Linked DNA regions of Rattus norvegicus. The protein of the gene in region 6 interacts with the protein of the main gene of each other region in a biochemical or structural test. Links are inferred from orthologs where the notes say so. Each region holds a gene or a part of one and is shown on either strand. Other genes may lie near its edges. The genes, in order: Dusp1, Mbp, Dusp3, Ptprr, Ptprb, Mapk3 and Gab2.

The links.
Region 1: of the proteins of Mapk3 (region 6) and Dusp1, one has a biochemical effect on the other in vitro, tested with the Homo sapiens proteins (2 studies listed by BioGRID and IntAct). The link is inferred for Rattus norvegicus from reciprocal best matches to the Homo sapiens genes MAPK3 and DUSP1.
Region 2: of the proteins of Mapk3 (region 6) and Mbp, one has a biochemical effect on the other in vitro, tested with the Homo sapiens proteins (5 studies listed by BioGRID). The link is inferred for Rattus norvegicus from reciprocal best matches to the Homo sapiens genes MAPK3 and MBP.
Region 3: of the proteins of Mapk3 (region 6) and Dusp3, one has a biochemical effect on the other in vitro, tested with the Homo sapiens proteins (2 studies listed by BioGRID and IntAct). The link is inferred for Rattus norvegicus from reciprocal best matches to the Homo sapiens genes MAPK3 and DUSP3.
Region 4: the proteins of Mapk3 (region 6) and Ptprr form a complex in vitro, tested with the Homo sapiens proteins (2 studies listed by BioGRID). The link is inferred for Rattus norvegicus from reciprocal best matches to the Homo sapiens genes MAPK3 and PTPRR.
Region 5: of the proteins of Mapk3 (region 6) and Ptprb, one has a biochemical effect on the other in vitro, tested with the Homo sapiens proteins (2 studies listed by IntAct). The link is inferred for Rattus norvegicus from reciprocal best matches to the Homo sapiens genes MAPK3 and PTPRB.
Region 7: of the proteins of Mapk3 (region 6) and Gab2, one has a biochemical effect on the other in vitro, tested with the Homo sapiens proteins (2 studies listed by BioGRID). The link is inferred for Rattus norvegicus from reciprocal best matches to the Homo sapiens genes MAPK3 and GAB2.

The regions. Positions count from the first base shown.
Region 1 is NC_086028.1:17,183,529-17,187,652, reverse strand, and holds Dusp1 (dual specificity protein phosphatase 1), read right to left. Parts: upstream 2,801-4,124; 5' UTR 2,650-2,800; coding exon 2,283-2,649; intron 2,059-2,282; coding exon 1,913-2,058; intron 1,540-1,912; coding exon 1,320-1,539; intron 1,060-1,319; coding exon 689-1,059; 3' UTR 7-688; downstream 1-6. UniProt on the Homo sapiens protein: Dual specificity phosphatase that dephosphorylates MAP kinase MAPK1/ERK2 on both 'Thr-183' and 'Tyr-185', regulating its activity during the meiotic cell cycle.
Region 2 is NC_086036.1:78,227,245-78,230,744, reverse strand, and holds part of Mbp (myelin basic protein), read right to left. Parts: intron 2,039-3,500; coding exon 1,943-2,038; intron 64-1,942; coding exon 28-63; intron 1-27. UniProt on the Homo sapiens protein: The classic group of MBP isoforms (isoform 4-isoform 14) are with PLP the most abundant protein components of the myelin membrane in the CNS. They have a role in both its formation and stabilization.
Region 3 is NC_086028.1:87,429,236-87,433,168, forward strand, and holds the start of Dusp3 (dual specificity protein phosphatase 3), read right to left. Parts: upstream 2,801-3,933; 5' UTR 2,796-2,800; coding exon 2,650-2,795; intron 2,486-2,649; exon of another isoform or gene 2,043-2,485; coding exon of another isoform or gene 2,041-2,042; intron 1-2,040. UniProt on the Homo sapiens protein: Shows activity both for tyrosine-protein phosphate and serine-protein phosphate, but displays a strong preference toward phosphotyrosines. Specifically dephosphorylates and inactivates ERK1 and ERK2.
Region 4 is NC_086025.1:53,547,236-53,551,441, reverse strand, and holds the start of Ptprr (receptor-type tyrosine-protein phosphatase R isoform 1 precursor), read right to left. Parts: upstream 2,801-4,206; 5' UTR 2,318-2,800; coding exon 2,260-2,317; intron 1-2,259. UniProt on the Homo sapiens protein: Sequesters mitogen-activated protein kinases (MAPKs) such as MAPK1, MAPK3 and MAPK14 in the cytoplasm in an inactive form.
Region 5 is NC_086025.1:53,880,902-53,884,401, reverse strand, and holds part of Ptprb (receptor-type tyrosine-protein phosphatase beta precursor), read right to left. Parts: intron 2,357-3,500; coding exon 2,078-2,356; intron 1,530-2,077; coding exon 1,380-1,529; intron 1-1,379. UniProt on the Homo sapiens protein: Plays an important role in blood vessel remodeling and angiogenesis. Not necessary for the initial formation of blood vessels, but is essential for their maintenance and remodeling. Can induce dephosphorylation of TEK/TIE2, CDH5/VE-cadherin and KDR/VEGFR-2.
Region 6 is NC_086019.1:190,795,707-190,799,993, reverse strand, and holds the start of Mapk3 (mitogen-activated protein kinase 3), read right to left. Parts: upstream 2,801-4,287; 5' UTR 2,767-2,800; coding exon 2,594-2,766; intron 1,677-2,593; coding exon 1,494-1,676; intron 1-1,493.
Region 7 is NC_086019.1:160,839,708-160,843,865, forward strand, and holds the start of Gab2 (GRB2-associated-binding protein 2), read left to right. Parts: upstream 1-1,358; 5' UTR 1,359-1,464; coding exon 1,465-1,542; intron 1,543-4,158. UniProt on the Homo sapiens protein: Adapter protein which acts downstream of several membrane receptors including cytokine, antigen, hormone, cell matrix and growth factor receptors to regulate multiple signaling pathways.

The DNA.
Region 1 (4,124 bases), on a different chromosome or scaffold from region 6:
GAGAACTCAATAGAAATGTCATAATTTATTCTGCTGTATAAAAAAAAAGTCATCCTAGTAACAAAATGTCTTCTCAGAAGAAGAAATATATTACTTCAGATCATAAATAAACAAACATACAACTGTTGATAGCTAAAAGCTACAAACAAACCAACACTGGCTTCGTCCATCAGTGCTGAAAGCCTGCTCTGGGTCTATTTACAAGATAGTACAGTACGCAAACACAAAAAGTGAGGTATTTCGTTCTTCTATGAGTAGACAATGACATTTGTGAGGGCAGACCACCCACCCACACAAAAATAAATAAGGTAAAACTCTCAAACGTGTATGTCATCGGGAATGGTTAATACTGGTAGGTATGTCAAGCACGAAGTTTCTAGAAAAAACAGGCAAGGGAAGAAACTGGCTCAAACAGAGTCCTTTCCCTTCTGCCCTGTTTTGTCAGAGGGGCTCGATGTACCCACAATATATTGGTCCCGAACGGGCTGAGTTCAGCAAATGTCTTGCGGTCAAGTCATTGTTATGACTGCTTGGGAACTCAGTGGAACTCGGGAGGTGTTTGGGGGGGGGGGTGTTAAATAAATAAGGACCAGCTCACATGAGCCTCTCCCAGAGTTATTGCATTGCTCCTCCCATGGGAGGAGTGTCGTCCCGGTGGCACGTGAAACTCCACACCTCCCCTGGCCCTTCAGCAGCTCGGAGAGGTTGTGATGGGGCTTTGAAGGTAGTTCAGGGCACTGTTCGTGGGGTGAACAGGGATGGAGACAGGGAAGTTGAAGACCGTTGTAGTAGAGGTGCCCCGGTCAAGGACAGCCATGGCCGGGCTCCCAGCTTCTGCAGAACAGTGAGGGGCCAGTACTTGGGACTCAAATTGCAGCAGCTGGCCCATGAAGCTGAAGTTGGGGGAGATAATACTCCGCCTCTGCTTCACGAACTCAAAGGCCTCGTCCAGCTTCACTCGGTTAGTCCTCATGAGGTAAGCAAGGCAGATGGTGGCTGACCTGGAGATGCCGGCCTGGCAGTGCACAAACACCCTTCCTCCAGCATCCTTGATGGAGTCTGAAAAACAAAGTTATGGCTTACTCAAAAACTCAGGAGGACAGCCGAGCCCTGATCAAAGACGCCCTCATGCTATCATAGGGACTGTGCATATGCTGTGCAAAGGATAGCAAGGGATTTAAACCCAGATTGGGTGTCTGCACGTATAATCCTGGACAAGACAGTCAGTCCAACTATTCAAGTCTCAGTGAGGAGGAAGGTTGGGCTCAGCAGCTACAGTAGAGAAGAACGCAGAGATCCCAGACATCTATCCCACTTACCTATAAAGTCAATCGCCTCGTTGAACCAGGAGCTAATGTCTGCCTTGTGGTTGTCCTCCACAGGGATGCTCTTGTACTGGTAGTGACCCTCAAAGTGGTTAGGACAATTGGCCGAGACGTTGATCAAAGCAGTGATACCCAAGGCGTCGAGCATATCTTTCCGGGAAGCATGGTAAGCACTGCCCAGGTACAGGAAGGACAGGATCTCCACTGGGCCCCCCTGAAATCCAAAACAATCCAGCGTTCATCAAGCTTGTTCGGCGTGAACACGCCAGGACCCACGCCCACAAAAACTCCCGACTGAAAAAGGGAGTTTCTGAAAAGCGGTGACCTCAGTACTGCTGTTGACATATGAAAATAATAGTAAAGAATCGAGCCGGTTGGCCGGGACAGAGCCAACAAGCTCTTCCGTGCCAGCAACTGGGAGAATTCAGCTCCATCCAATTGCTTCATGGTGAAATGAAGATCCTCGTGTCCCCGCTAGTATAAATAAAGCTACAGCCGCTTTCTCTATTCTCCCTGGCACAAGCTTCCCAGAGCTCTGCCAGTTCTGCCACCTCCCAGCCTCTCGTAGACCCCGGACTCCTACTAACCTGGTCGTAGAGAGGGGTGCTACAGGAGCTGCATCCGGATTCTGCACTGTCAGGCACACTAGTACTCAGCGGGAGGCTGAGCCCCATGGGGGTGGACTGTTTGCTGCACAGCTCAGGGCAGGAAGCCGAAAACGCTTCATATCCTCCTGAGAATACAAAGGTACATATTTTCCCATTAACGCCGCCGCCGACGCAGTACCTGGAGACAAGTCACCCACCCACCAGGGGCTGCGAGTTTACAAGGAAGGTTTAGGAAGTCTTTGTTCCCGGAGTCAAACAAAGCCAGTGACAAGCCCCTGGACACAGGCGCTCTCACACTCCAGGTGGGACGCCCCCCTTCCTTAGCTGATGGCAGAAGTCCTGCGCGTACCTTGGAGGAAGAAGACTTGAGTGGAGCGCGCTTCTCGGCAGAGCGCGCCCGCGGCCAGGGCCAGGGTGCCGTCGCGCTTGGCGCCGTCCAGGGCGGCGCTGCGTTCGTCCAGCAGCACTACGGCGTGATAGGCTCCGGCCAGCAGGCGGCCGCGCAGTTCGGTGTTCGGCACGATATGCTCCAGGCCCATGGCGCCCTTGGCGCGGCGCCGCACGATGGTGCTGAAGCGCACGTTCACTGAGCCCACGATGTGGCCGGCGTTGAAGGCGAAGAAGGAGCGACAATCCAGAAGCAGGCACTGAGCGGCGCGCTCTCGCAGCAGCGCGCGCAGCCCCCCGGCGTCCAGGATGCCCACCTCCATCACCATGGCCAGCACCAGCGACCCCAGCGTGCCCGTTCTGCAGCTCTCCAGAAATAGTCTGTCGATCTTGTGCGGTTTTTTGTGGCCCTAAATCCTCAAGTGCTCGCTGATCCTAATCTGGCTTCACCGCGCGTCCCGCCCGCCAGTCCTTTGCTGCGCGCTGGTTCGGAGGAGCGCGGTTTTATGTGGCCTCTTGGGGGCGGTCCCGGGCGCGGCACAGGAGGAGGGGGGGAACGGTTTGTTTGTTTGAATGGCGGACACGTGACCGGGTGGTGACGTCACCCGCCCTGCCGGGCTTGGCGCCACCAAAGCCAAAAGCAAAGACGTCATCGGCCTGGGAGCGGGTCGGCTTTGAGCGCTGGCTCCGGGCCGGGCCCCCACCCTCCTGCCCTCCGAGCTCGCAGGCAGGACGGCGCGCTGCCAGCCGGGGTGGCCAGAAGGCTCGGCCTGAGGACGCGCCCGGGGACACCTGCCCTGCTCCCCTGCCCGGGTCTCTAACGAGCGCGCGGCCACTCCTGGGATCACGGTCTCAGTTGGCCCCGCTCTGGCTGCTGGGGTGGTGGGCGCGGGAGCAGAGCGGGAAAGGGAAGTGGATAGTGAGAGATGACCAACTCGGTCTATAACCCTCTGGCTATACTGAGGACAAACAGCGAGAGTCCAGACGTCCTTCTTGAATCTCACTTTAAAAGTTTTACGCTGACAAAGGAGTGTCTCCAGTTAGCTCCCCCCACAACCCCCACACCGAAGTGTTATCTTAACTACGATGGTCCCTAGAGGACTTACTTGGAGCAAAGGGAGGAGGGTTGCAAATTCGGGTGTGGAGCCCAGGTTTGACATTTTCGGGGAGGGGGGGGGGGGGGACTTGGATAGAGCTCCACAGCGCCGCCCAAGGACCGTCAAGCACGTTGTCGTCGCGAGGCATCAGAAGATGCTGCCAGCCACTGCTCCTCTGCCCCCAACACAACTTTCTTTTGTTTTGTTTGAGAGAGGTCTTGCTGTTTAGCCCTGGCTGGCCTTGAACTCACAGAGACCCTCCTGTCCCCGCCTCACTAATGCCTAGCTCTTCAACTCTACTGAACAGAAGCTGAGCACACCAATGACTCAGGACTGAGAGCTTTGAATCCTCCACTCTGTGGAACAAACTGTACCCATCACACCTGGGAAGACCCCAACGATGTCTGTGTCCTTCCCCAAAACTCCATGACTACGGGGTAGGCCGTGAGCCTGCTGCCAACACCACCGAGTTGGATACACAAACATAAACATTGCACCACTCCGCAGGGGTGCCGAGTCAGGAACATTCTGCGGTTTCTTCCTCTTTGCAAGGGGAGGTGTTTTACTGGCCACCATGTGTCTTTGCCCAGCAACGTCCGCTTTGGCCTCTCTTAGCACTTGCGTTCTGCCTAGATTCTTCTGGAAATTCGGGACACGTTATTTTTAAAGGGCGTTTTTACATCCCTTTGAGCAACGATCCTAAAAGA
Region 2 (3,500 bases), on a different chromosome or scaffold from region 6:
GAATCGAAACATCTCAGGCTAACTTACCTTTCCTTGGGATGGAGGGGGTGTACGAGGTGTCACCTGGAAGACAGAGAGGTGGGGGCTGCAGTGACTCACTTCCCCGCAGGAAGCCCCACGCCCTCCCAGAGGGTCCTATTAGTTCATGTCCACAGACATGACTCCAGTCCATCAGGGGTCAGAAACTAGTACATGTCTCCATATCCTGCCCTTCCTGGGGCTGGAAATCGTGCATCTATTGACGCTCAGTTTCAGCTTGATGCCCCATTCAGAGAGAAACGTCTCTGTGTGGGCCTGTGAGAGCAGGAGACCATGGAGGCCAGCAGGGGCCGAAGCTATAGCGATAGCCAGTTATGAGCCACCCACATGAGTGATGGGAACTGAACTCTGATCCTTTGCAAGAGCCGTGTGCTGGCTGGCTTTATGTCAACCTGACACAGGACAGAATCATTTGAGAAAGGGGAATTTTATCTGAGAAGACGTCTCCGTAAGATTTGCATACAGATCTCTAGTGTGTTTTCTGAACTAATGATTGCTCAGAGAGGGCCCAGGCCATTGTGGGTGGGACCATCCCTGAGGGGTGGTTCTGGGGTATTTAAGAAAGCATGAGGACCAAGTCAGTCAGCAGCCTCTGCTCATGGCTTCTGCTTCAGTTTCTGCCTCTGGGTTCATGCTCTGAGTTCCTTCAATGAGGGACTGTGACAAGGAAAGGACAGAAGTCCTTTTCCCCTCAAGTCGCCTTTGGTCATGGTGTCTCACCACAGCAATAGAAGGTCTAAGACACGTAGTATGCTCTCTTAATGGCCGAGCGATCACTCCAGCTCCTCACCATTAGTTTTAAGAAAAAACAATTTTCTTATGGTTGTTTGGATGAGAGTGGCCCCCAAAGGCTCATATATGTTAATGTTTAGTGGCCAGTTGGCGGAACTATTAGGAGGTGTGGCCTTATTGGAAGAGGTGTGCCACTCAGGTGGGCTCTGTCTGTCTGTCTATTATCTATCTATGTATCTATCTATTGTTTATCTATGTATCTATCTATTGTTTATCTTTGTATCTATATACCTATTTATGTATCTATTATCTCTCTATCATTTATTTATCACATCTATCTATCCATCTAACAATCATCTATCTGTGTATCTACCTCTATGTCCCCTCCTATGTCTACCTCATGGTTATGTCTGAAGATGTGATTTCTCAGCTACTGCCCCAGCACTATCCACACCCCCTCACCATGATGGCCATTGACTCATCCTCTGAACCATGACCTCCAAATAACCTCTTTCTTCTCTGTATGTGGCCTTGCTCATGCTGTCTTATCATGACAATAGAGAGGTAACTAGGACATTTATTTTGTGGAAGAGTTTTCCGCTGTATACAGAAGTTGTAATGAAATCATGCATTTCCCCTACACCCGTAGGGCATTCCCACACATCTGCTCAGCTTCTGCTGTTTAGCATTGGCATTAATGTGATTTGCTTGTTCCAAGTGACAGACAAAGATTGGGGGCATTAACACCATTGTCACCACCACCATCATCACCACCACCACCACCATCACCATCATCATCATCACCATCATCATCATCTGGATATATCAGCGTTCACTCTATATGGCATGCATCCTATGTATATGGACAAATGCAATGTGTCTTATGTCACAATGCTGGTCTAAAATGCCCTGCATTTCTTTGTTCATACCTCCTGGGCAATGCTGATCCCTGCCATTTTCATTTCTCAGGGTTACAAAGTCTATATTTTTAATTAAGCATCTGCTAGCTGTCTGGTTTCAGGAAAATTAAATCCTTTGAGGGTGGTGTTCCTCAGGCCATCAGCAGCACCCTGAGAAGGATCCAAGGAGGCTAGGTGTGAGATAAGACCTCGCTTGGATCTGCAGCCTTCCCCTTGATGATTTCTTGGTTCCCCTTGTGCACGTCACTTACAATGTTCTTGAAGAAGTGGACTACTGGGTTTTCATCTTGGGTCCTCTGCGACTTCTGGGGCAGGGAGCCGTAGTGGGTAGTTCTTGTGTGTGAGTCCTGAAAGAGAGAAGCATGCAGCTGAGGATGGAGAGTTCTAGGTAGGTGAGCCAGGTCTGTCCTTCTGAGGAAGGTCTCTACTCCGTGCTTCCTGGGGACTGGGGAGCTGCTGGTGTGGCAGCAGACCCCTGAGTCAGGCACGGGGCCTGGAGGAGCATGCTTGATGTGTCACTGCAGTTTGCCGGGTGGCTACTCTATTTCTGAAGCCACGACAGGCAGAGGGAGTCTATTCATTAGCTTTGGGGTTGCAGCATCATGAGCTAGCCTCTTTGCCTCATGTCACCGGGGTTCTGAGTCTGCCGATATAGTACTATCACTTTCCCATCTTGAGTCAGATGGTGTTACACCTGCAGTGAGTGTCCACCTGGGCCGAGGAGAATTCATAACCCACAGAACCAGAGGGTTCTAGGCCAGTGAATGTAACCAATAAGATATTCTAGCAAGCACATGGCCAGTGACTTATCCCAAGTGAGCGCAAGCTTTCAGGAGAGACTGAGAAGGCTCTGCTTTCTCCTGATGCTGTCCTCCTGGCTGTCGCTCTGTACCTGTGCTCGACACAGGGGATGAGCACAGCACCACAGAAACTGTGTACATCTAACAGTTTGTTAGAATCCTTGAGAAGACACTGTGAAGGGACCTCACAACATCACTGTATTCAGAGAGCAACAGACAGGGAATTCTGGAGGAGACTGCATGAGTTTCCTCATCTCTCCCTCTGCTGTTCCCAGCACACACTCCGAATCACCCCTGTGCTCAGAGAAGCCTCAGTCAAACAACCACAAGGACCACAGAAGTGATATACATAGTCCTCCGCAGGGGTCACAGCCATGTGACTGGGATGGCAATCCAGTCACTTGAAGCATCCTGTCTCTCCATGTTCGGGTTGGGAGAGCCCTCTGGGGAGTTTGCCACAAGAAAGGCAAGGGCTCTCTCGAAAGCCGGGAGGGTGTGTGCGATGGGTGTGGCTCCGTGATGAGAACTAGAGTGGCACAGGTGCCATCGGCATTGTGATTTGCTTGTTCCAAGTGATAGAAAAAGATCGGGGCATTAACATCATCATTGTCACCATCATCACCACCACCACCACCACCATCATCATCACCATCATCACCATCATCACCATCATCATCATCTGGATATATCATCGTTCACTCTATGTGGCATGCAGCCAATGTATATGGACAAATGCAATGTGTCTTAGGTCACAATGCTGGTCTAAAACACCCCGCATTTCTTTGTTCATCCCCCCAGTCCTCCTGGGCGACACTGATCCCTGCCATTTTCATTTCATTTGCCTAGCACTCAGCCTCCCTCCGGGTCAGTTACATCGCAATCCTCGCGATGAACTAAACAGTAACATGGCTTTACCCTTTGCGTTGTAGGTCCCGAGGCTGTGGACAAATGTTTACTCCGTCCCCTCACATAGAAAGCACCAGACAGAGCCTGTGTTAGTAGTTGGAAG
Region 3 (3,933 bases), on a different chromosome or scaffold from region 6:
AAAGGCAGCCCCGGAAGGAGGAAAAGGAGGAAGATCTGAACCTGCTGTCCCCTGTGGCTCTTCCTGCCTCATTTCACAACCTCTCCCCTCACCCCAGCCATATACAGTTACCGGCAGTTTCCCCAAATAGACCTGTGGTCCTACGCCCATGCTGTTCCCTCTGCTTCCCTTCCCCACCTTCTGTGTAGGCATTCGCCTCTCATCTTGCAGAGTCCTCTGCGGGATTTCCCCAGCTCCTGACGGTGTGTGTGTTGCCATTATAGTTCCTATGCTGTGAGGGCAGTATAGACAAGCTATAGAGAGTCAGCCATTAGCACGCACCTGGAATACTAGCACTCAGGAGGCCAAGGGAGGAGGAGGTGAGTTTGAGGCTAGCCTGAGTTTCCCCAGTAAGACCCAGATTCAAACAAAAAAAGAGAGAAAAATAGACCCTAGAGTCGGAATGTCTGGGTCTGAATCCAGCCCTACCATCGACCATGCAGGCAACCTTAATCAAGCCACTTAAAACTTCCTGGGCCTCAGTTTTTCCTCTCTGTAAAATTCAGATAGCAGTGCCAACAGCTTGCCGGTGGTCCTGAGTGTTGAAGGGGGCTGTTCTGTTGACAGAGCCTGATTTTTTGGTGTTTGTATCCCAAGGCTTCAGTCTGTGAGTTCTTTGAGTGCTCTGTCCCCTGCTACAGTGCCCGTCACGGGGTAGGTACTGAATAAATGTTCTGTGAATGAGTGAAGAATGGAATTGTCACATGTCAGGCTCCCTGAAGGACCAATCCTGCCCCACTCTGTTGGGCTACAGTTCTGAGGCTCTCTGCAATGTCTTAGCACTCAAGTAGCCCCCCGCAAAATGATGGGAATTGGAAGGTCCTTTGCCTGAGTGGTCAAAGAGGCCCTTTGCTTCCCCCTCACAACATCCAAATTTAAACTGCAGTTTGTACTTGACAAAGCAGTGTCTCCTGCATGGGCCTGTCTACCTGACATGGCAGCCCCCAAGAGAGGATAGAACTGTCCCCTGTGAACAGAGCTTAAATTCTGCAGGACAGGAAAGGCAGAGGGATGGGGGTGTGTGTGCGCGTGTGCCCACGTGGGCCGCTAAGCCAGAGCTAAGAGGAAAGTGCAGTCCAGACTCAGACTCAGCCCTGCTCTGCCTCTCACGCCCTGAGATTGGAAAATGCAGCTCACACAGACTCCCTCACTGGCCTGAGAGGATGTGCCCGGCAGCCCTTCTGACCACGAGTTTCAGGTGAGTAAGGAAGCACAATTCTTGGCCTTAGGTACGAAGTTGATCCTCCCAGCTGAGCACCCCCCACATCAAGGTCAGATTTGCACAGAGGACAAAGGGTGTGTTCTCCTCGGCAGGCATCATTCCTGACAGTATTCCTGAGGAAGCCACTACAGACAAACCCAATAACCTGTTCCTCAGCAAGCAGGCTCCCGAGACTGCCAAGCTCCCTGGCTTCCTGGGTAGTTGGGGTAGGAAGGACTGGGCCAGGTTCCTTAGGACTATGCAGTGACCGAGCTGGAGGCTGACCCCGTGAGTCTGTTTATCCGCTTGCTCAGGAGCAAGAATGCACAGCCAGAATGCTGAATACTGTGCCCCTATATCCCAGTTTTCTAACACTAATCCAGCAGTCAGCAAACGCACCATCATCACCACCACCATTCCAAAGAGTGGACACCATATGGTGTTTGACACATAGTAGGTGCTTCATATAAAGATGAGCAACGCAGTGCACGAAACCTGTCCCCAAGTGTCTGCAACCGGTCCCACCCCCACCCCCCTCCCCGCAGGTTAAGCAGCAGGTCCTAGGTGCACGACAGGAAACACACATGAAAGGCATTGAAAGATCCTTACAACCCCTCAACCACCCAGGGGCCATCGCTTCCTAGTTCACAAAAACAGAGCTTAGGGCTTTGATAAAAGGGGCCTTCGCGCTCATGAAAACCCACTATGGATCTTCCTGCAGTGTGGGTCATGCCAACTTTTCTCTCGGTGTTTTTTTGTTTTTTTTTTTTATAAAAACATAAGAGATCAGTGATATACACATTTCCTAGTGGTGCGATTAGGAGGGATTTTTCAGATGCCTCAGGTCTTCATCATTTTTGATTTGTCCCATCTGAGTCAAACCCTATCTGGAGAAGCCAGGAGAGCCTTGGTTCAGCTACTTCCTCTTCTAGCGCATTTTAGGGTATTTGGATTTCCTGACACGGACAGGAAAAGCTCCACACCCGGATTGTAACGTCATCCCGTTGCCATGGCAACGAAGGCAGACATTCCACGGTGACCTCACTGCAGAACTAGGCAGCTGTCACGTGACCCGCGGCCAAGAGACAGCCCTGCCACCTGTTAAGAGAACGTGGTAGCCTTGACCCCGCCCAAGCCCAAGCCAGAGCTGGTAGTGGCGGAGGTCAGGGCCGGGCACTTTGAGGGGGGGGGGTGAGGGGCGTCTCAGGGCATGCGGAGTCCAGCTCCTCCGCTTCAGACGCGGGGAGTGGGTGTCTACTCCAGGCTGGTCCCGGGCACCCGCTCTTGACTGAGGTCAGCGACCGCACCCAGGGCCCACCCCCACCCCCGCCCCGTGAACCCCTATTCCAGCCCCGAGTAGGCGGGGCGCCCGGGGAGCGGCTGCGGAGTTGCCCCTCCCGGAGACTCACGCGTTGCCCACGTAGACCCTCGGGATGACCTCGTTGCAGGGCTGGCTCGGGAGGCTATAGCAGCCGCTGCCGTCCGAGAGCAGGTCGTTGAGATCTTGCACCGAGAGCTCAAAAGAGCCGGACATGGCGGCGGCGGGGCCCTGCATGCCGGGGCAGGAGCGAGCGAGGGGGAGAAGCCGGGTCAGCGGGGCGGGGCTGCCCAACCGGGAACCGCCCCGTCCCGCCCCGGAGGCGGGCCCACTGGGTGAGGGGAGCTGGCGGCGCGCTACGCAGCTCAGAGGACACGCGCGACCGGCCCACGCGCCGCAGGACCCCGGGGCGGGTCCCTGGCCGAGATGTCGTCACTCCGGTGTCACCCGTACTGGAACGCCGTACCAATGCGGGACGCCTAGGTACACCTGGCGTCTCTCTTTCAGGATAATGGGTACCCCTGGTGTTTGCCGTGAACCCTTCTCGCTGCACACCAGCAGCGTGGGCATCCACTCCCTCACCCCAAACACACATGTCAGAGCACATGTCCCAGCCCACGCCTGATGAACAAACAACTTGCCCACCCCAGGACATGGATCACAAGGTCACAGGAAAGAGCCCTACTCTGGAACACTTCTTTCAGTGTTTGGTGTGAATCAGCATTGAACTTTTTGAAAGTGAAGGTATGGGTCCCCAGGTTTGGCCTCTGACCCCTAGTGGATTACTTAATCTTAGCCTGTTTGCTAGCGACTAAAAGGGAGGAAAGGGTTATACGTCACGATAGCCGTTTGAGTAGCTATACTTTTGGAGATCCGAAAGTGTTTTATAAATCTGTAGCTTTTGAGTGTAAACACAATGTAAGTGGAGAATTCTCACACCTAACCTGTGACGGGTCACAGTCAAAACACAGGTGCACTAAAAATTACCGTACAAAATACAAAACTAAATTCAGGATACGTTTATATGTGAAGCGTTAATGGATTTAGACTTGGATCCATTCCCAAAATATCTGACTCTATGCATTAAACATTAGAAAATCCCAAACACTTCTGTCCCAAGCATTGCAGTAAAGAATATGCAACATCTAATTCTTAAGAATCGCTGGAAAGGTTCCAGAAGCATTCAAGGGGCTGGGGAAGTTCCTGGGCTGGTAAGGTACCTAGCATGCACAAAAGCCTTAGTTCAGTTCCGAGCGCGGAATGAACAGGCCTAGCAGTACCAGAAGCACTTAGTGGCGACTGTGTCGAACACTCACTGGGCCTGCGTCCTTGGCTGTGGGCTAGTGTGGAGGTAAATCTTTCCTGGAGCAGCTGC
Region 4 (4,206 bases), on a different chromosome or scaffold from region 6:
CTTGAATGTGGCTCTCTTTATGAGAGATAAACTCAGATATTCAACAAGTAAAAGGCTTCGAGGCTTCTTGATCTGTGCTCTCCTAGCCACTTATTTTCTTATTACCTAAATCTGTGGGAGCATAGATCAAGAAAGCTATATTTATCTGAGTTCTGATGAAAAGCCCAAACAGTGCTATTAGATAACCGCGATGCATTTTAATCTGATGACAGCTTCTGACCCACAAATTGCTGTTGAAAATTAAAATGAACCCAAAACAAAACTGGCAAGATGACAATTACAACATCAGACCCACAATCTGCTTTGAAAAAATACCATTCCAGAGCACCGTATTACATACAAAAAATAATACAAATTAATGCCACTGAAATCTGAAATATATAGCAAATCACCTGTTGCCTTATGAAACTAAAATTGGCTGGGTAATCTTATTTTTAATCTTTTCTGCAAGTTAAGAGGCCAAAGTGTAGAGAATAGATTTGCTTTGACCTTTGTAATACATGTTTTGGCAAAGCTCCAGGAATCATGGAGGGCTGCAGACTTCTAGGTTTCACCTCTGGTGGGCAGACGTCCTCTCTTTCCCTTATCCCCAGGGTTCATCCATAATAAATTAGAAACCTTTTCTCCAGACCTATAATAAAGTCTGTGTATAATTGTAAGCTTATAACTCCCTGGCATGCATTAATCATAACTGTCAACATTTGTGTATGCATACTTTTTTAAAGAATAATTACATCGATGTGTTTTATCAGATAACTAATTACTTAACTTGGTAGCAATGAAAACTTTTTTTGGCAGTGGTTACTTTTGTCAATTGTACCACTAAATAGTATTGGACATAAAGCAAAAACAGCATCTATGTAATCGTCATATACTTTAACATTTAAATAATTGTATGTGGCTGAGAAGTGATTCATTACAGTTGTTTGCAAATAATTTAATAACCAAGTCATAGCTTCTTCTCCCACTGGTATTCAAGATACCAGAGAACCACTGAAGACTCCACAATGTAATATTGTAATTATAATAATTAACATACATCCTTAATTATAGCTTTATTGTTCCTATACATCGTCTGTTTCTAAATGCATAATGCATTTAAATCGCAATAGCTAGGACAGAAAAGTACTACATTTCACTCCCATTATTGCATACAGGGAAAAAAAGCACTCAGGCTTTTGGAACACTACCGCAAAGATTGCAGTTTCCCAGCTAGTGTGTGTGTGTGTGTGTGTGTGTGTGTGTGTGTGTGTGTGTGTGTGTGTGTTTATGGTCGCAGTAACACAATGCACTCCCACTCGGTGTACTTAGAGAAATGAATGTGTGTGAAAGAAACTCAAAGAAAAGGTCTGCGTTTGCTACAGGGCTACTGCTTGGACAACTGCGGTCACGGCAGGGTTCCTCAAACCTCTCTGCCATGTTTTATTTTGGTTCACATGTGTGAAAATCATACAGGATGCAGTCCAGCAAGCTTATCCACTGTGTTAGAGGAGCCAGGTGATGCTGGATATAAAATTCCTAGGCACTTTATCAGGTTTGCATCCCTAGAACTAGATACTGATTCTTGTGTCCAACCTATTTTTATGTGACTGCACTCCTAGCTATCTTCCATCGAATTTCCCCCTGGGGAGACAGTGATAAACCCTAGGCTTGTAAGTGTGGTTGGGTTTTTCTATTCTGACTGCGGATACTGACCGTGGTGCTGAAATAGAGAAGAGCCTCCCGTTTGAAACCTTTCCTTACTCTTATTGGTTCAGAAAATCCGAGTGACAAGAGCAGGGTCCAAAGCAGCCTGGGGCAGCATTGTTAATAAACCATGCATTTGGCTCTTAGGGGCGGAGATGTAGACCATCAGGTTACAGACAGAGCCCCGTGAGCGCTCACTAAACTGGGAGAGCTTATGGATGTAGCCGCTGCAGTAGAAAGGACTCCATCCAGCAGGATGTCTCATCTCTTTTCCTGTAAAATGTGCAACCAAGTGCAAAGCCTAGAAGCGCAAGCAGGAAAGCTCGATGGAGGGGAAAGCAAATCTATATACACATTTAAAATGTTCACTCTTCGTTATGCAAGATAAAGAAAAAGGAAAGGCTGAATTTAGCCTAAGTTTTCAGCCCCAGCCTTCCAACAGGTGCACTCTCTCACCCCTCAGAGACTATACCAAACCTTCTTCTGCTAGGTAAGCTTCCCCTGGAGTCCTTAAGCATGTGCTGTTTCCCATCTCATCCTCAGCTTCAGCTCTGAACCCCCGCAAGCCCTTACCTGCAGCGTGAAGATTAAGAAGCAGGCACAGTGCAGGGAAACCGACCGCTCTCCTCATAGTGTGTGCATTGAGGGGCGGGGGAGAAACTCCACCGCAATCCCACTCCAGGCAAAGTGCTATTTGAGAGAAACACTGCCAAGAGTCCTTTGATCCCGAGGCATCCGATGACAGGGTCCTCCGCTGGGGTTCACAGAGCAGTCTGTGGCGTGCCTACAGAACCGAGCACTGGCTTCGTCTCCCTAAGGGATGGGGAGACGGGAGAGTAGGATGCTGCGGGAGATGGGGACTCGAGGTTGGTGGGTGTAAAGCGCTCAGAGGAGGTGAGTGTTTGGCCTTCCTGAAGCCCGCAGTCGGTGGTGACAGTGGGGTGGACTCTTGTGCCAGCTTCCAAGCCAGGCAGCGCCTCTGCTGCCTGTGCAGCTAGCAGCAGCCCGATACACCGAGGCACTGAGCATGCCCAGCCCCGGCCCTGGCTAGGGAGTTTCAAATCGAAATTCCACCTCTCCGGGTCTTAGCTGAGGCTGCGAGGGGAACGAGCTCCACGAGAGGGAGGAGGGGCTGGAGGCTAGCGTTAGGGACCCGCGCGTTCCTCCTGAATCTGGGCGTGGGGAGGAGTGGAGTGGGGCGGGAAGAGGCGGGGCCAGGACCACAGAGACCCAAGGAGGGAAGTGGAGGGAGCCACTCATCTGGTTCCTTCCTCGCATTTTGATTCACGCGTGGGGACTCACCTCACTGTTGCAACTAAATGTTTGCGGGCCGACCAACTTCCCAGTATGTTCCACCCTACTGAAGTATAGGCAAGCAGTTAGTCCTGGCCTGCTTGGGCAAGTGTTCTCACTAACAGCCTGCTGTGTAAAGCTAACTGGCTATTCTGAGGGCGCCCCCTACTTGCCAATTAGCTTACCCCAGGCTTCTTCCAATCTTTGTACTTCCATTGGATTCAAGCCCTAAGTCTATGACTGTAGTGATTGAAAATAAGGAGGCCATACTTACAGGGTAGGGAAGTACGCCCATGTAATTTGAAGGAAAGGAATGGTCTTTGGTAGTTTATGGAAATAGTTATCTAAGGTTCTATTATTTAATTAAAAAGTGAATATACTTGGTTATTTTGCTTGCATGCATGTCTGTTCATCAAGCCTGTGCCTCATGCCCTTGGAGGTCTAAAGCGGTTATTGAAAGCCTAGAGCTGAAGTTAGGCATGTTGCAAGCTGCCATGGCCTTCTGGGAAAAGAAGCAGTGCTCTTAACAGCTGAACCACTCCGGCCTTTTTATCTTAACTCTACTTCTGAGCTCTAGCCCTGTATCTTTAACGAGGACCCCACGGTGTGCAGAATATATGTACTTTTACTCTCTTTATCTAAGTTGGTAGGATGGAGATCCTTACCAATCTAGTGACTAATTACTCTAAGCCAAAATGTCCCTCAGCGAGGCTCCCTTCAAGACTGTTCATCCTTATGCTTCTGTCCGCAGGTTTCCCTGCTGCCTTTTGGCAACGGACCTCAGTCAGAACACGGCCACACAAGAGCTTACATAGGTCTAAACTTGCTCTCACGTTTCCAGAAAGCTCTGGGCTAACCTGAGATTATAATGTTCTTTCTCCTCCCCGGTTTTTGAGCACTGACATATATATATATGTATATGTATATGTATGTGTATGTGTATGTGTATGTGTATGTGTATGTGTATGTGTATGTGTATATGTATATGTATGTGTATATGTATATACTATATGTGTGTATGTACATATATATGTATATATTTTTTTCTGAAATGGTTCATTTATCTGTGACGCATATTTCACCAACTGCAGGCTCCTTGAGAAGCTCTGAATTTTGCATTAACTTAAATTGAATAAAGTCGTGCTGGCCAAATCAGAGGTAGTAATAAGTGCTCATTGAATTGAACTGCAGGGCTCATTCAGTGCTTTCTCCCTGCATCCCCTAAGG
Region 5 (3,500 bases), on a different chromosome or scaffold from region 6:
CGGCTCACAAATTTATCTCCAGTGCCGGGGTGTGAGGAAACCGGGGATGCATCATTGACCCTTGAAATTATTTAATTAATTATGCATAACCAATTTGGTACAACTAAATAGGATGTAAAACCATACAGACTGTTAAATACCCACTGAAACTAAAATATCGTTTAGTCTAGACATTGTTCCAGTGTTTGCCATGTTTAAAAATTCCCCTTTACCCGAAAACGGCTGAAAATTTGTCAGAGATGCTTAGGGAAATTCATGTATATTTAGCCCCTTGAATAATTCTGAGAAATATAAGGAAGATGAAATAGACATATCCCTGTGCACACTGGCATCCCTTTTGGAGACTCAGTACCTAAGGCCTTAGCAGCAAAGACATACGTGGATACACATAACTCCAATCCACACCTCCTTCAGGTGCTTTGACAGGACGTGTCAGTTCTTCAGTCACAATCAGTTACGTACAACTACGTGTAACAGTGCAGAACACGTGCCCAATCTGTGGAAGCTGGGTGTCCCCGTGCTTTCTACAAAACTGCACAATGAAATACACTGCTAAAGATTAAGAGTTGAGTGTGGTGATTACATGTCTACAATCCCAAGGCCGGGAAGAAACTAAGGCCAGAGACTCGTGAGGTTTTGAGGTTAGCATAGGCTACAAAGTGAGGGGAAGACCAGACCAAGTTACGTAAAAAACAAATGGACAAACACAATGATAACAACAACAACACAAAAACAAAACAAGCAACAGCAAGACCAAATGAACAGAACTCAGAAAAACACCCTCCATAAAGCAGTGGTGCTTCAAATGAACATCTTTTCTCTCTTGTAAGCTTTTGGGAATTTTTGTGAATTGATGTATGGTTTGGGAGTAGGTGCCTGTCTATGTCATAGAAAGTGAGATAGATAAAAGGTGTTATGATATATTGCTACTTACTGGCAGAATTTGAGAGAGGGGTGGGGGAAGAGAAAGAGAGAAAACAAAATTGATGGGTAGCCAAGAGGATATTCATGTATTGGAAAATTGTGCTTGGGAAATAGTAAGGACTCTAAAAATAAATGATCTTTGTCTATAGGATGTATAGGATGGTCTTAAACTCATAGAAGTCCTCCTGTCTCAGCTTCATAAGCACAGGGTTTGTAAGTGTGGGCAACACTGTTCAGCTCAATCGTTACCGTATTTGTTATTTTTATCATTCTCCTGTTGATCACTCATTACGCCCAGAGTTAACAGGGTTCATTGTCAGAGGATCCTCTGAGACAGAACTGAGTATCTAACATTTCATTTTCTACACTTCAAACTTTCTCATGGAAGGAGCCCTCTCACGACCTTTAAGAAGTCAGTTCTGTGTCTTCGAGTTCATTAACTCGTCATTACTCACTGTCAGCCTCTCTCACCACCACGGCGAAGTATTTAACAGCCCCGTTGGTGTCGCTGAACCAGCTGCAGTTGACAGTGAAGTTGATGGAAGATTTGCTGATCAGCACATCCTTCTCATTCACTCGGATATGTGGAGGCGGCGGCGGAGGGCCTGGAAAAGAGGGGAAGTCGGCAAGAAGGGTCATGGGGCCCTTTCTCCTCTGAACAGGTCAGAGAGGTGGAGGTCTATAGTCACCTCGGCCTCTGTGCTCTACCGAGGTAATGTGTGATTACAGCCTCCATGAGGAAATCCTCCTCCTCGCCTGGGCAGAAGTAGGCAGAGGAAATGCTTTGCCAGTGGTGCATTAGGTGCAATGGAAGGGGCGTCTCCTCTGCAGGATTCCCTCAGGTTGTAGCATCACATGGTTTGAAAGCCCCACTGGTTATAGATTAACTAGATCAGGCAAATGGCACACTTAAACCCCAACTCCTTCAGGCACTTTAACCTTGATGGTGTTTGTTAATGCAAAACTTTATCCAGAGAAATGTCCTCATTTTCCTGGAGTATTTGATCCTCTTCTCCAAGTAATAACAAGACAGGATTGTGTGCATGTGAACTGTGTGCAAGCGAATGGGATTGGTGGAAATAACTGAGAGAGATTCGAAGCCCTCTACCCCTGTGTGACAAGGGGTCCCACGCAGACCTTGGGAAACACTTACGGTCTATCATGGTGATGGTGCTGTCTTCAACCACCTCGCTGGTCACACCGGCCGACTGCACCTTGATGGACACCAGGTACCTCCTATGAGGCACTAACATCATGATGTTGAGCAGTGATTTTTCTTTCTCCAGCTTTCTGGAAAACTCAATTTCTTGGGTGTCCATTTTTCGACATTCAATGCTGTAGCCATCGAAGTCGGAGTCAGGTGGTATCCAAGAGCAGGCAATGGCCGTCGAGTTCTGAGGGCGGCAATGCAGGTTTTGGATCTTGTCTGGTTCTGTGGGAGCAAGGGGTAAGAGACACAGGTCAGCCTTATGCAAGACATTTCCTCCAGCACCTTTGGGGTTAACTGTCTAGCTGTAAACAGACCCTTCTCACAACTTCTTGAATTACTTTCTGAGGAAAGTATTTCTAAGGATCATCATGGAAAATTTCTGGTTGCCAGACTACATGTTGAAAAAAGAAAGTGTCAGCCAGGCTGTGGTGGTGCACATCTTTAATCCCAGTGCTCAGGGGGCAGAGGCAGGTGGATTTGTGAGTTTGAGGCCAGAGTGGTCCATAGGGCAAGTTCCAGGAAAGCCAGGGTTACTGTCTTGAAAAACCAACCACCAACCAACCAACCAACCAACCAACCAACCAACCAACCAACCAATCAAACAAGTCAACCAAACAAAAAAAAACAAACAAGCAAACAAACAAACAAACAAAACAAAACAAAAAAACCCAACCAATCAACCAACCAACCAAAACCAACCAGCTTACCAACAAATAAAACAGTCCATCTAATGTTAAATGGGACCACTGAGATGTCTCAACAGGTAAAGGTATTTGCCACCGAGCCTAATGGCCAGAGTTCAATCCCTGGAATCTACATGATTATAAAAAGACAAAGGACTTCTGCAAGTTGTCCTCTGACATCCCCATACTTGTGCACACACATGAATACTCATGAGAACACACACAGAGGTAAGTAGGTAGATAAGTAAATGTAAAAGAAAGAGTTAAAAATGCAGCCGGGAATGTAGCTAGGCTAGCTTAGCATATGTGTGACCATGTGTTCGCTCTTCAACACTGTCAACCCAAAACAACGCAACAATAAAAAAGCCTTACTGAAAGTGAAAGTACTATGCCTTCAGAAAATCGACAGCATGCTTTGAAAAGCAAGCGCATGTGAGGACACCAGAACCAGCCGGACAGAAGGCAAGGTAAGCCTCCAGCCTGACTTCACCAACACTTTTGTATAAATGACTTTCCACCTCTACAACCCACCTGCGCATGAGGGAATCAAGAATCTCTCTAGCTATTGAAGAGTTATTGTAATGATGGAATGGTGGAACACTGGTTGGCAGAGTCATTACTCAACACATGTGAACTCTGCTCAAGATGAAATGACTGTAGTGACTTGTGATCCTCCTCTGCGT
Region 6 (4,287 bases):
TTTATACTTGAAGATAAAACAAAGACTAAACACAAACAAATGTCATCTGGCTTATCTTTGGAAGAGTAATCAGGAGCTGGGCAGAGTACGTCACTCCTACAATCTCAGCACTTGAAGCAGAGGCCAGAGGCTTGCCTAGAAGTTTAAAGCCAGCCAGGTCTACAGAGTTAGCCTGAGGCCAACCAGGGATACACAGTGACACTTTCTCAAAAAATGAAGTCTGAACTGTCTTCCACAGAAGACATGTGAGAGCTGGGGCTGGTGGCACCCAGGATCTCTATGAGTTCAGGGCTAGCCTGGTCTACATAGGGAGACCCTTTCTCAAAAAGAAGAAGAGAGAACAAGCATATGCAGATACACACACATGGACCAACCCTGCCGCTTTACAAATGTGGAAGTCCGGAGGTGCAGAGACCTGCTGAAGGTCATGCAACAAGACAGGAGTAGTCGATTTCCTGTGGTCAGAGCTGCAGAGGCTGCAGAACAAATCCTGGGATCGGGAGGGGTGGGTAGGGAAGAGGCCATGGGTGCTACAGTCTACTAGCAATGGCGCCAAGCAGGAAGTACATGTGGACAATGAACTAAATGTCTGAACTAGGCAAGCAGTGTCAAGCAAGGGCAACAAGGGCTGGACTACCTTTCCTGGTCAAGGTACAAGGCCGCAGGTAATCAGGGTGGGGCTCTCAGAAGAGTGGGAAGGCTCCAAGAAAGCCAACTGGGGAAGAAGAGGAAGCAACAAACAGGAACAGCTGAATTTAGGCTTTCTTCTATAGGCAGACTCTCAGGGCCCCTCGTCCTTCCTTGAGCCCCTGGCTAGACCAGGAGTGCAAAGGCGTGGCTCCGCCCTGTGAGTCTAGGGTCTTCAGGTTCCTCCTCTTAACAATGCAAGGTGGTGTGAAAGCCTCCACCCTCTCCACGTTGGAGAAAGTATCGCCCCTCCCCCACAGAAGGCCCAGCAAAACACAGAGCCTCAGTTTCCTCATCTTAGAAATGGACGCGGTAAAGCTCATCACACAGGGAAGCTAAAAGGTTGAATTAGAACCAAAGCGCTAGGCATGCCCAATGCTGGTTTTCTTCCTCGCTTTCAATCCAGTGTGAGGTCTCTAAAGAATCGTGAGTCTGTTGAGCAAGAAAGGGCTGTGGGCAGAGACTGGGTCATGTCACAGAACTGCAGATGTCAGAAGACAAAGCTCCCATAGAGATGGTTTGCCCAGCATTCTCCCCTCCCCACACACCATACTGGGGCACAGAGCAGAAAAGGATGTGTTCAAGGCCACTCCACTTGGCTGCAACAGACCAGGATCCAAGGCCTGCCAGGGTGCTCTTCTGCTCCGTAGACTCTCAGCTAAAAAGTTACTTTGCTGGGTTTTTAAGTTTTTTGGTTTTTTTTGGTTTTTTTTTTTTTTTTTTTTTTTGAGGGTGGCACAACAGACGACAACAGAAAGCAAAGCCAAGCTCCTTAGCCTCGCTCTGGAGCTGTGGCTAAAGGATACACATCTCTCATGGCTTCCAGGGTGGGTGCTCTGAGGATGTCTCGGATGCCTATGACATTCTCATGGCGGAATCGCAGCAAGATCTGGATTTCTCTCAGCGTGCGCTGACAGTAGGTTTGATGCTCGAAGGGGCTGATCTTCTTGATAGCCACTCTGGTCTTGCGCACGTGGTCATATGCTGAGCTGAGAGAGCCAGAGAGATGTGTGGCCTTACAAAGGGGGAATCCAGGCCTGGTGGCCCCACCCAGGCCTTGGCAGGGACCGGAGAGAGCAGGAGAGGGTTCTGGCCAAGTGTAAACAATGCTGGCTCCTTCCTGCTGTGAAGGCCTGGAATCTCCAGGGGGAAAGCTGGGGACCAGCCAGGCAGCCTTTCAGTGACTTCACAAACAGAGGAAGAGAGTGGCCACTCACTGACTTCCTTTCTCCTGGACCCTCTTACATTGTAGTTGCCCTCACCCTCCTCCCCTTTCCTGAGCTGGACTCTCTCAATCCAAGACAGGTCCAGGGGATGGGAGTTAAATGGAGAGAGTGGATGAAACCCAGAGGATTCAGTAATGGGACAGGGGAAGAGATAAGAAGGGGTAGGTCTGTCTCCCGGTGAGGTTCCTGGGTCAGAGCTGTTCCCATAGGAACAAAGGCCCAGAGCACAGAGTGGGGCAGCGAGAACTCACAAACCTGTATCCCACAAAATAAGGCACATTCTAGAGACCCCTCCCTACTTTGGGCCTCTGGCAAGGCCAGGGGCAGGGGTGCAAAGGTTTGCCCCACCCTGAGCTTTGCTCTGCTCTCTCAAACTCTGTCACAACCTCATCAGGGGGGAACCAAGGCTCCCACTACCTGCTTATGGGTCTCTCACTCCCCCTTCACCAAGAATAGTCATCCTCTTAGCTCCACCTGTATCTCTAGGGTCCCCCAGGTGCCCCTCCCTTAACAATACAAGGTGGCTTCCAAGCCTCCAACCCCCCTTCCCGGAGAAAGTAGCTCCTGGTCCCCCAGAAGTCACTGCACGATCCCTCCCCTGCGACACTCCCCGGACCCCATGTCCCGGGCACGCACCTGCTGTCCCCGCTCTGAAGCCCCCTCCTGGGACACCCCCTCACCTGACCATGCCGTACGCGCCCTCGCCGATGTACTGCAGCTGCGTGTAGCGTGGGCCCACGTCGAATGGCTGCCCCTTCACCACCTCCACCTCCCCGGGGACCACCGGGACGACCCCAGCAGTTCCCCTGGGCTCCCCGCCCCCGCCCCCCGGAGCCGCCGCCGCCGCCGCCATCTCCACTCCTCCCGCCTCCCCCCGCTGCCCCGCCCGCGGCCCCGCCCCTCCCTGCCGCCCTGTCACCGCGGGGCCGCGCGCCAGGCTCCGCCCCCGCCCCCGCGCGCCCCGCCCCCGCGCCTGCCCGGCGAGCCTGCGCGGGCCCGCGATGTCACGTGGTCTACTGAGAGCGCGCCCGGCTTTCCCGCCTAGTTACGCTGTTCCTTCCTTGCCTTGGCCACTAGGGTACTTTAGTCTGCCTAGAGAGTACTGCAGCCCCAGGGGCCAGTGGCCCTGAGTGATGCTGAGGGAACCCACCCCTAAACTTTGGAGACCTGCCTCTCACTTTTTGTTTCATTTACGCAGACAGTATTAATCCAGGCCAGCCCCAAAGGTTCTATGTGGTGGAGGTTGGCCACATCCTCCTACCTTTAGGCCTGAGCCATCATGCAGATTCTGGATGTTAGGCAAGAATCCTATCACTGAGCCACATTTCCATCTTCTCTCTCTCTTTTTTTTTCTTTTTTTCTCTTCCTTCCTTCGTTTCTTCCTTCCTTCCTTCCTTCCTTCCTTCCTTCCTTCCTTCCTTTCTTTCTTTCTTCCTTTTTCTAAGAGGGTCTCTTGACATGGAACTGGCTGTCCTGGAACCCACTATGTAGACCAGGCTGGCCTCAGCATACTAACTCCCCTGTGCTGGGATTAAAGACTGTATCACAATGCCCAGATTCCATAATTTCTTATTCGTTTATTTGCCACATTTATTAATTTTGTGTGTTGGGGCATGAGTATGTCACAGAGCCTGTGTGGAGATCAGAGGATATCAGATTCCTTCTGCTGTGCAGGTCCTAGGTATCCGACTTGGGCTGTCAGACTTGGTAGGAAGTACCCACGTTTGCTGGGCCCCCCTGTGGTGGTGGTGGGCTTATCCTAAGTGTTATAGTGAGGAAGCAGTCTGAAGGGTGGTGGATGGCAGGCAGCACTAGAAAGCTGTGAAGTCAGGTATGCTCCTGTGAAGAGGCAGGCCTGCAGTGGGCTCAGGTGTGTTCTGAGACCCAGTGTTATTGCCTGGAGGACATGCAACCCAGCCCACTTCATATGAGAAGGAGGGAAAGGGTGATAACTGTGAACAAAGATAACTAAATCAATTAAAATGTACAATCTGTTTCTCTCTCTCTCTCTCTCTCTCTCTTACACACACACAGACACACACACAGACACACACAGACACAGATACACACACACACACACACACACACACACACACACACGTGCGCGTGCCAAACAGCAAAATCAAGACCCTGGATCGAGGCTAGTAAGATGGTTAGGTAAGCAAAGATGTTACCATAAGAATGCTAAAAATTTTTTTTAAAGATTTATTTATTTCATGTATGTGAGTACACTGTAGCTGTCTTCAGACACACCAGAAGAGGGCATCAGATCCCATTACAGTTGGTTGTGAGCCACCATGTGGTTGCTGGGAATTGAACTCAGGACCTCTGGAAGAGCAGTCAGTGCTCTTAACCGCTGAACCATCTCTCCAGC
Region 7 (4,158 bases), about 30 Mb from region 6:
CTGCCTCTCCAGTCGATGCATCAACCACACAGCTACCCTTGTTAAAGTGGATTACTTGCAACCTCCCAAAGAAACTGGAGGGGAACCTACCTTTTAATGCTGTTTGGGAAGGTGCTAAAAAAAAAAAAAAAAAAAAAAAAAAAAACTCTTACCAAAGGTTTTGGTTTTGGTTTTGGTTTTCTTTTTTCCTCCACCTCCCCCCTGGAGCACTGGTGCTAAGTGAATGCTTCCTGGTCCTTTATCTCAACCCTCTCAGCACAAGGCAGTGAGAAAGAGCTCTCTATATTCATATTTATATAGGAAAGATCTCACTGCAAGTGAATGGGTGCAAACTCTGGAAATTTTTTTATCACAATTTCTTATTCTTCTATACCTCCTTGTTTTCCAATTCACCTCCTTGTTTTCCAATTCTGCAAAACTTAAAATTTCCTTTTACAGGATTCGTTTTTTCCAGAGGCAACATGGGAGAGCGCCAGCTGGACTTTGTTTCTCAGCAATAAGATTCAGTTCCCCACCCCCACCCCCTTTGATCTACAGACATTACAGCAATCCATCATTCTGAAAAAGAAAAAAGAAAAAAAACCGGGGGAGAGGATCCTCTCCCCTCCTCCCCAAACACCTGGATTAGAAACGACTGCATTGTATGAGCTGTGGGACTTCAGGCTATCTGTAAAATGGGTACAATTACTGCCTATCCAATTTGTAGAGTTGTGAAGATAATCGCTGTGAAGGACTCCCCGTGCACAGTAGGTCTGTTTACTTCTACTCTGGCCTAGAGATGTGAGAGTTAGCTTACAGTGAAGCAGGACACCCATTTCAGCCAGAATCCGACTTATTGAAACCTGAAACTGTGGGACTGGACAGGAAACTGGAGCAGCCCTTGGATCTCTTTCCTACTCTTACACGACCCTGAGGAGGGGTGGGGTGGGGAGGGGGTGAGAATGGGCTCGCTGTTCGATCTAGGGTGGGCAGCCTCTAGCCTTCCCTCGCCCTAGCACCAGCCCCACCTAGAGGTCTTCACGACCCCTCCTGCAGCTCCAGGCTTAGAGGAGGGGAAAAAAAAAAAAACAACCACCGCCAAGATCCTGAGGGCGCACTGGGTGGCGGCAGCTCTCCTCGCCTCAAGGCCTCCTTGCCTGTGGTGTCCAGAGCCTGGGTAGTTAGCCTCTACGCCGACCGCCCTCAGGGACCGCGCGGGGCTGTGGGCGTGGCGAGAGCCCGCTTGCTGAGGCGCCCTGGTGGGGCTGGCTGAGAGAGCGCGCGCGCGCGGCCGCAGGACGGGGGGGGGGGGTTCGAGCGCGCGCAGGCAGCCGAGCCCGCGCGCCTCGCCGCCTCGTCCTCGCCCGGGGCTGCCCGGCCCCTCCCCTCCCCCGCGAGCTGCGCACCGGCAGCCGGCTGACCCAGCAGCCCGCGCCCGCGCCCTTGTCCGCGCGAGCCGGCGGCGGGCTCCAGTCAGCGGGCGACATGAGCGGCGGCGGCGACGACGTGGTGTGTACCGGCTGGCTGAGGAAATCGCCTCCGGAAAAGAAGTTGAGGCGCTATGTGAGTGAGGCGAGCGGGCGCGGCCGGGCGGGCGGGCGGACGGCCGGGGGCTGTCCCGCGGCCTCTGAGGTGGGGGCGCTGAGAGAGGCCGTACGCGGCGAGCCGAGGCCCCGCGGCCTCAGAGGGCGAGAGCGGCGGGGCGCGAGTGGGGCGCCTCACACCTGTCACAGGTGCGCCGCCGAGGGGCGGGGCGCAGGTCGGGGCCGCGGCTCGCCGCCCGCCTCCCCGGGAACTCCTCGCGGTGCCGAAGTTTGTAACGATTGTTCCGGCGATCCGGAGAGTAAACGCCCGGGGCTGAAGGGGCAGAGTCACCCCGAGCGGAAGGGTAGGCTGAGGGGCCGCGCGGCCCCGGGCCCACAAAGGGCGAGGCGCCGCGCCCCTTTCCGGGTCCCTTTCTCTGTCCGCCCCTCCCTGGTGGCTGCCGGCTTCCTTCCAGTCCGCGGCCACTGCATCACGGGCAGCGTCAGCGGCATGTGCAGCGCTTGTATTAAGTGACTCATTTGTTTGTCCCCCTTCTTTCCCATTATTTCGAATGTCTCTCACATACCCCCACCCCCACCCCCACACACACCGCGGCCCTCCGCCCCACCGGGTGACACTGCAGTTTGGTCCTCTATAACTGGCCAGAGTTTTGTGTCATGCAGCCCTTGGTGTCTGGGGTCTGAAGACATGGTTCTGAATTGCTAGGTGGTGCTAGCTGTGTTTACTGAAATTGGTGGGACGGGCTGTCCCCTCTACGTGAGAAACTGGCAACTGAGGTCGGGGCACCCCCTTCTTGTTTAGCGAAGTCAGAGAACAAAATGGTGCCAGGATCGGAGATTGGAGTAGTCTGATGAGTTTAGAAATGGAAAGTCAGTTAAAGGAGTGCAGGTTCTCCCATCTTCTCACTCCTCACTTGCCAAGAAACGTCCTTGTTATGCTGACTGGGAGTGCTGGACTCAGAAATCACCCCCACAGCCTGGAAGTGAGCGGTTGCTTCCAGCTGCAGTGCATCAAGGGAGCTCCCAACAGACCCTGCCCTCTGTCAGCTGCACTAGTGGCTGGCCATGGGGGATAGAAGCTTACCAGAGTTTCCTGTCTCTGCTCCCCAGATCAGAATCAAGGGACTTCTGGCCTCTGGACTGAGGAAGTGACATTCTGTTTTTCAAAGGAAGTGTTGTTGTTGGGGAGTGCAAGTGTGTCAATGAAACCGGGCTTTGACTTAGGTCACTTGCTTGAGGGGAGGGGGGAGGAGGAGAGGCAGACAGGGAATCTTAGGATTTAGTGCATGGTTTTTGAAAGTGAACAGAGATTTGGCATACAGTAATATAGTAGGGGTGTTTAAGCTTTAAAGCTCATTTGGGTTTTTTTTTATGTGAGTAAAATATTTTAATTACTAAGAGCTTTTTGTTTTGTTTTGTTTTGTTCTGTTGCCTGTTGCTGTAGCCTAGGCTTGTACTGCCAGCACTTACATTTGGGAAGCAAGAGACAGGAGGAGCAGAGGTTCAAAGCCAGCCTATTTCTGTTGGTCTAGGCCAGCTTAAGCTACATGAGACCCTGTCTCTCATTTGCATGCCAAACAATACTCACTCTCTCTCACTCTCTCTCTCTCTCTCTCTCTCTCTCAAATCATGCATGTGCACAACTCCAAGATGGCTTAATGGGTAAAAGCAGTGCCCTCAAACCTGTCAACTTAAATTTGGTTCCCTGGAACCCACATAAAGATGGAAGGAGAGTTCTGACCTACACACTCATGTTGTGTGCACTCACACAATCTCTCTCACATACACAGAAATAGTTAAGAAAATGGGGGGGGGGGCTTTGTCGGGGATGGGGGTGGTCGTTCATGCCTGTAGATGTGTCCAGCATCTGGAAGATGGAGGCAGGAGTATCAATAGTTCAAGATCATCCTTGACTGCTTAGTGAGCTCAAGGCCAACCCAGACTACATGACCAGCCACTGAAATAGTGTCCAGTTTTAAAAAGTAAAATAAAACGTTCAGATTAGAAAGGAATGTAGCATAGTTGGTAGAATGTTTTCTTAGCGGACAAGATGTTCTGGGTTTTATCCAAGAACATCATAAACATTGCTGGGTGGCACAAGCCTGTAATCCCAGCATTCCAAGGAGGAGAGAGGAGGATTAGAAGTTCAGCTCATCCTTGAATTTGAGAAAACAAACAAAAATATATAGAGATCACTGGAACTTTGTTTTTTAAATATCTTGTAAAAAAGTTGATACTGTTGCTACTTTGACTCATGACTGCATCAACCCTTACCATGAAGATTCTCTTTATGACCTAGCTCTTGAGTATTTTTTAGAACAACTTTAGCTCAAAAATAGCCAAGTTTGGAGGCTTGTGTCAAACACAGATTTTACCCATTTAAACTCCTTTAGCAGTCTTGGGTCCTCTGGTGACCTCAGCCTCCCTCTCGAACTGCACATTCCCTTTGGCTCCAGCCCGGAAGGCACCTCCCACTGTAGAAAGAAGTTCAGCCCTCCTACTTGAAACAGCCAATTGAAATAACTTGTGCTTCCAGTACAGCCTCCTTGATCCACTACATTTCTGGAGGAAAGAGTTGGCTTTTACACACACACACACACACACACACACACACACACACACACACATGCACACA